2 linked regions of the Oryzias latipes genome follow. The protein of the gene in region 2 interacts with the protein of the main gene of each other region in a pairwise test. Links are inferred from orthologs where the notes say so. Each region holds a gene or a part of one and is shown on either strand. Other genes may lie near its edges.

Evidence for each region.
Region 1: the proteins of cdca7l (region 2) and ctnnbl1 interact in binary tests that used the Homo sapiens proteins (3 or more experiments, as listed by UniProt). The link is inferred for Oryzias latipes from reciprocal best matches to the Homo sapiens genes CDCA7L and CTNNBL1.

What each region holds. Positions count from the first base shown.
Region 1 is NC_019865.2:1,925,508-1,929,833, forward strand, and holds the start of ctnnbl1 (beta-catenin-like protein 1), read right to left. Parts: upstream 2,868-4,326; 5' UTR 2,730-2,867; coding exon 2,700-2,729; intron 1,815-2,699; coding exon 1,581-1,814; intron 510-1,580; coding exon 403-509; intron 311-402; coding exon 171-310; intron 1-170. UniProt on the Homo sapiens protein: Component of the PRP19-CDC5L complex that forms an integral part of the spliceosome and is required for activating pre-mRNA splicing.
Region 2 is NC_019869.2:9,681,295-9,684,376, forward strand, and holds part of cdca7l (cell division cycle-associated 7-like protein), read left to right. Parts: intron 1-724; coding exon 725-907; intron 908-2,019; coding exon 2,020-2,175; intron 2,176-2,263; coding exon 2,264-2,413; intron 2,414-3,082. UniProt on the Homo sapiens protein: Plays a role in transcriptional regulation as a repressor that inhibits monoamine oxidase A (MAOA) activity and gene expression by binding to the promoter.

The sequences.
Region 1 (4,326 bases), on a different chromosome or scaffold from region 2:
GTTGCTTTCATGTTATCTTAAAGATAGATATTATTAACTGCTACAACAGGTTTTCTAGAGTTTTTCTAATCAGAGCTAACAAATCCAAAATCGCTGATGCATTATGTTTTATATAGAGCTCCAGCCCCCAGATAAACCAGTTTGCAGGTCAAAATCCATGTGAAGGATATCTGTGTTTTCATGGCTTAGAAGGCCCAACAGGGAGTGGACGGCATTGAGCTCCACCAGCAGGTGGTAGAGATCCGGCATGGTGGCGATCACGTGCATTTCCTGGATGATGTCGTTGAGATCCAGCTCCGACTCCATGAACCTGGTTCGGAAACAAAGTTAATAGTTTTCCAAAAAAAGAACATTTAAACAAAATCTTTGATGTAAAAAATAATAAAGGAAAAGCATGTTTACTTCTCAGGATTGTCAGGAAACTTGATCCTCAGTTCCTGGTTTTTGTATGACCTTTTCTCAAAGGTCAGGATCATTTTCTTCACTGTGCTTTCATCCACCGGCTCGGCCTGTTTGATCCGTGGAACATCAGAGGACATGGCAGTGGTGAAGAAAATAGAGGAGGAAAAAGGGGGCAAAAGCTTTTTAGGTCGAAGCAGCTGCTGCCGGAGCAAAGAGCCATCACTGCGACATTAAACGTGTGAGTGGAGTCATTTTTTTGCATCAATTAGGGTACATTTTACAGAAAAAGGGGATGCGTTTGACCTCCTGAAGGCTTAAAAGCTGTAAAGTGCTAGACGGATAATGACCGGTTAGGACATTTCAACTGCCTGACATTATGGAGAAGAGGAGCCATTAGCTCTGAGAGGCCCTTGACAGAGTAAATTTTTGAAAATGCCTGCAGTGTGGGGATAATATGAACTGAATTATCAATGTGCAGTCTTCAAATGCACTGCAATATGGTAACACTGGTTCTAGTGTTACTCCTTTGGAAATTCTGACGCAGCTGCATTTTCCACCGTGGCCTAACTTAAGAGCTTCGCCTTCTGGCTTTTAATGCCACAAAAAAAAAAAAAAAAAACAGGTACGTTTACCAACATTTACTCATCACCGTGGTCTCTCTTCATTTTTATCTGTTATCAATACCAAAAGGATGGTTACATTCGCACACATGCGTTTTTGTTTTTGATAATTGTTTTCACCTCGCACCTTGAAAAATGGACACAATGAACATTTAAATAAGGAGAAAGAACCTTCTAACACTTATTAGTTCTTCTCAGTCACTTCCTTCCCTCATTTTGTCCAATTCTTACCATGTGGTTGTTAGCAGAAGTTGAGTAGTCGTGGCAACGACACAACTATTCATCTATGCTTAGACAGTAGTGCAAAAGAACCAAAAGCATTAAGCTCCTCCAAATGTATGCCGTATTGCAAATGTTCATCACTTCTGCATCATTCCTGCACTCTCTAAAGAGGCAGCTCTGCATAACTCGCTTTAAATTACAAACAAAACAGCATTTTTCCACCTAAAGAGGAATCAAATGGTCTCTGTGATAAAAAAAGGAAGAAGTCTGAACTACAGACACAGCCTTTTGGAAGAAAGAAAAAAAACGACCAGTAAATAAAAACAGCTTTCCCACCTCGGGTTCTTCTTCATCCTGGTCCATCAGTTTTTCCAGTATCCTCTTCTTGTCCCCGGTCTGCTCTTCGCCGTCCCCCGGTTCAGCACGACCCTCTGATCCCGCTCCAGCTTCCCGATGTCTGGCCGGGTCCCGGGATCCCAGTCCCTTCTGCTGCTTCCCTCCTCTGGAATCATCGTCTCCTCCTGCTGCTCTTCCTTCTTGCTCCCTGGGACGTTTTGCTCCTCTATCGGGCTAAGAGTGGAAAACCAGTGACATGCAATAAGGAGCACAGCGACTGAACGTGATGAAGAAATATCAGGTGAACAGGCAATGATGAATGTCCAATGTATGAAAACAATTGTTCGGAAAAGCTGCAGCAAAATAAGTCAATAAAGTCCAGTACAATTTAAATGATGTGATTACTTCACCTGTAAATTAATATTACTTAAATTGTTTAAACAGTAAGAAGAATGAGCTTAATAGGGCATCTGAGTAATGATTATTATTAGGAAATAGGTAAAAATCCATAACAAGATAACAGCCATAGCAGCTTTCAGCATTAATGATAGGAACTTGTTGGTACTTTTTCAAAACGCAAATGAAAAACACAGCACAGGAGTAAGATTTTTGAACTTTATTACATAAAATAATCACATTTATATTAAAGGATGACATGACAGATTATTTCTAAGAACTTTTAGGGAATGACTGAGTGAAACGTCATCCATCCAGCAGCCAAAAACATTTGACACCAAGTCCGGATTTTTGGTTTTCTCCCAATATTATTTCTTTTAATAAACCCCTAATGCAAATGTTTAAATGATTTTTTTATCGTTAATAATAAAAATTTGCAGCCAGCAGCACTGAAGTAAACCAAGCTAATTTAGTTTTAGCGCTAAAAACTGTGTACCGAGATGCAGAGCAGTCTTTATTATTTTGCTCCGCCAACAACATAATGTACAAACTTATAAAAACAATAATCACAATTTTAACTAAAAAAAAAAACAAAAGACAGAGAGTAAAGCGAGAAGAACTAGAAGCTCAAGCTGAAGTTCAAAACTGTAGCCAGGAGCTGAAGCTCAGCTGCTACATCTTGAATGAATGACCGGAGGCTGAGAAAGAAACACATCTTCGTACCTGATAGTTTAAAAGTTCTCCAACATCCATTTATCCAGCCGGGAACTCTCACAATAAAACACAGTCTGCTTAGAACGCAATGAGGGGAAAGTGCGGCTGTGCGACTAGCTGCACGGCTAACTACAAGCTACCCAGAAACATGCCTGCCGTAAAGCAGGGCTGCCTGTCGTCATGGCAACCTGATGTCGCGACACTCCATTATCTCATTTTGCGTCTAAATGAACTGGCATTGGAATTTTGGAAGAATACCAAAAGCAGAACTGTTAAACAGTTAAAGAATAAATGATCCACTGTCTCAATGTCCTTTAAACAAAAACTGCAATCATTCTCTTCAAATCCAAAACGAAGTATCAAAAATTCCTTGGATGGGTAAACATCACTAATTATTTTAAAATGAATGTCTTTTACTTTTGGTAAAATACAAAATGTAAAGAAATTCGACCTTAAATCAATGACCTCTTCTTTAGAGAAGTGTTTAGAAATGCTTTTTTTCTGATGAGATGTTTGGAAGACTTCTTTCACAAACAATCTTCGTATGAAGCTGTTTGCTAGTTCTGTCTTTGTAACTGGCTGTCCGTCCAATAGGAGTGAAGGAAGTTTTAATTGAACTTTGTTTAACAATAGATTTTGTGATACTTGGATCAACGACCGAGGAAGAGCTTTGTTCACAGCATCATATTGTTTCCGATCAAATAATTGAAATTTAGAACTAAAATTTTCAAATGTCAAAATATTTCCAGAATGATCAGCAAATAACTGAAAAAAGCGAATCTATTATCTATTGCATATCGAGGAAATATCAAGTATTAGATCATTTAAACAACACAACAAAAATATTCCAGTATAAATTTTGAACATTCAGATAGATCTAAAAAATAAAAAAAAGGATTTATAACTTCATACAAGTGAGTATGGATTTTTATTAAATTTGGTCTTTTTTCTTTTAGGCCTCAGTCTAAATATTACTCATTCCATATAGTGTCACGGAATTTTCTAAAGTTATGATATTCACCAGAGATGAGTTAACTTTGTGCACAGCTTTCGTTGTGTTCAAAGATGTGTTTAAAAAATGCAAACAAACAAATAAATACGATTTTCCCTTTTGTCATCTTTTAAAATTGTATTCGTGGTAAATTATATGAGCACAGTCCCTAGTTTAAACAATTTCACACAATAACATCCCTTAATGCTTAAACTGGTGGCCTGACCACACAAAAGAAAAGGCACTTGGGAGTCGGGCTGCACGATATGAGAAAAACTCGCGATATGCGATGTTGGTGATTACTATTGCGATAACGATATCATTTGCGGTATATAAACAAATAGCAAAACAACCAAAAACATCAATCCCATTTCACTGCAACAGTTTAAAAATTATACTCCAAATGACCCTCGTCGACATAGGAGGCAAACATCAAGGGCTCATCTGATTGGTCAACAATGTAAACGGGTCCTTCCGATTGGTCAAATGCATAAAGGGATTTATTTCATTTGTTCAATATTTCAAGCTGCCATGAGTTTGTTTTAGCACATTTAAGGTAACCGTTTATTGCGATTATCGCCATCTTTTGCAGTATGCATATTGCACAGCTTGATGTTGCGATAACGATAAATTTGCGGTATATTG
Region 2 (3,082 bases):
AATTCTTAGTATTCCTTCATAATATGCATGCATTTGTGCTAAGCAAATAATTTTAATCTGGGTTTAGCTAAAAGCTCACCGTGCAACATACATCGAATTTAAAGACTGACAAAGACGATGAGACATTATCAAAGAAAGTTTTTTTTCATGATGAGCTGTGACCTTAATTTCAAAGAATTGAGTTAAATGAAAAGACTTTTTATTGCACTTTAGCATCTTGATTTCCTCCAAGTGGACCCAGCAGAGTAGAGACATGATGTGCACTTGTTTCTGAAACATCACATGAAAGGTCAAACAGAAAGTTGAACCACATTTTCTATTCATTTTAAGCATATTGGACGGTTTGTGAGCAGCTTTTTCAGATTTCATGGGTCATTATTTTATAGTCAGTTTTTCTCCACTGCTGCAGTTTCGCCATTTTCCATGCATACAAATTGATAAATTGAATACCATGAATCTGGGCTTAATAACCATGTTAGAAACATTTTTCATGTTGTACAGCAGCGTGGTTAAACCAACCTTTTATTAGTGCATTTTTCCTATAGGTGAACCATCAATGCTGAAGCAATACGCTGTTAGCTTACATTCTATCGAGCAGCAAAAACACAAAAAATCGTGGAGTTCTTGCAGACAAACGCCACACAAAATGCGGCCGCTGCAACCAACTGTTCTCCGTCACGTTTTCCTCTCGCCTTGCTGAAATCCAGACACCCCTTCTTTGCAGAAGAAAAAGCGGACGCCGCAGAAAACATCGCCACAGAAACGCAGGCTGGACCCAGACGTCGGGTCGGGGAGGAGGAACCCGTCCCGCAAGGCCCGTCCTCCTGAGAACTTTGCTGTCGAGGAAAAGAGCGAACCGGTTCTTCGCAGAAGCCACAGGGATGTAGACATCAAGAGGTTGATAGAGGTATGGCAAACACCTGGTGGTGATGTATCACTGCATTCATTTATTTAAAAAGCACCTTCCACCACCAGTCAAGGAGGCCCAAAGTGCTGCTGCACACAGGAAGAACAAACACAGAACATGAAGAATAAAAGGCAACTTAAAACAGAGATTAAAACTACCATAAGAACAGCTCTAGGCTTGATGCTAAAGCGCTGAAATGAACAATTCTTTTATAAAACTCTCCAAGAGTGTGACCTCTCTAACTGCCAGTGGCAGCTGATTCCATGGTTTACACCCCCTGAAACTCACGCTTGGTTCTGGGAACCATGAATACAAAGTGGTTAGCGGATCGTAAGGACTTAAGTTAGGGGGCAATATTTTAAAAGCAGACTGGAGAGGTAAGAAGGTGTCGTACCTGCCAGGGACCTAAAATAATAAAATAAATTGAGTAAAAAGCAGGTATTGCACTGGCAGCCCGTTCAAAGAGACCAAGACCAGCGTTGTGTGGTCAAACTTCTTTGCCCCACAAATTAATCTGGCTGCTGCAGCCTGACCATTGAAGCTTTGGGTAAGCCAGCATATCAAGAGCTGCAATAATTAAGTCTGGACAACACGAAGGCATTGGTGACAATTTCAAGGTTTGTTGTTGATTTAAAAGACTTAATCCTAGCCAGACGTCACATCTGAAAAAAGCAGGAGCCGGTCACAGCGTTTATTTGGAGGTTGAGCTTCAAGGTTGCATCAAGTTTAACACCCAGGTGTGTTAAACTTGACAGTTAAAAAGGGGCAAAAGAGTGGAGATTCAGACCATGATATTTTCCACCACTAGAGGTAAACACAATCACCTCAGCTTTCTTTTTATTAAGGGCAGTTAAGTTAGCCGACATCCACGACTTAACCTCCTGTTATGTCACGTTCATACCGGGCTGGAAAACTCGCCTTCATGTGAGCACTTCCATTGCAAAGTCTATGGAAACTCATGTATCTGAACATTTTAGGATTCTGCATTCAAACCTCTCATGTTCACGCATGGCTTTGCTGGTTCAAGAACCCGCTTCACATGGCCGGTGTGAACGTAGCCTTAGCTGTTTTGCCTGACATGCTGTGTTTCATTACCTGCTGCTGCTGGACAGGTGGATGAGGATCACGTCGGTGTCAAGCGGAGAAAGATCATGGGCCAGTTTTCCAGGAAGAGTGCGTACGTTGTGAAGTCCGTTGATGAGATCACCAAAGAGGATCTGGACAACATCGCGTTCCGCAGCAAAGATAAGATCTGGGACAAAGAGAACGTGAGGAATTCTGGGAACTTTTGACAGAGATATTTGTGGGTCTGATGGGATTTTCTTCACTTTCTCTGCTTTTTATTTTTATTTTCAGGGCAGCTCGTGCCACCAGTGCAGACAAAAGACTCTGGACACCAAAACAGTGTGTCGCAGTGGTTTCTGTGTGGGGGGCAAAGGTCAGTTCTGTGGACCGTGCCTAAAGAACAGATACGGAGAGGACGTGGGCTCTGTGCTGCTCAACCCGGTCAGTGTTCAAACAGGAAGGCCTTTCTCTCACATTACTCTCACATTAGGGAATGCCATAACCACATATATATTAAAGTTTTCAATCCTGCACAAAAGGACAGTACCACAAACATATAACTAGGTCAGGGGTCGGCAACCCAAAATGTTGAAAGAGCTAAATTGGACGAAAAAAACAAAAAACAAACATGTCTGGAGCCGCAAAATATTAAAAGCCCTATTTAAGCCTTATAATGAAGGCAACACATGCAATATGTATCTATATTAGCTATATTAGCCTACTATCAAAATGACTTAAGGCCCGTTCACACCGGGACAAATTTCGCCGGCGATTTTCGCCGACGTTTAACGCCTTCACATGTGGTGTTATTGAAAAGCCCCAAATATCCTCTACAGATAACAAAAGGAGTTTATTCAGTAGGAGATACGTTGTCCACAGCAGCGGTCCCCAATCCCCAGGCTGCGAACCCGTACCAGGCAGTTAATACTGGGTCGCAGAGTTAAAAAACAAACAAACTACAACCTACAATTTCTTCCATTTTTTTCCATTTATAATCTGAGTCTCAAAGAAGTTTTATTTTGGAAAACTACTGGGTTATCCCCACCACTTCAGACTCATTCTTGACACTTGCCAAGTCGCTCAATCCATTTGCTATTTTCTTAAAGCTGC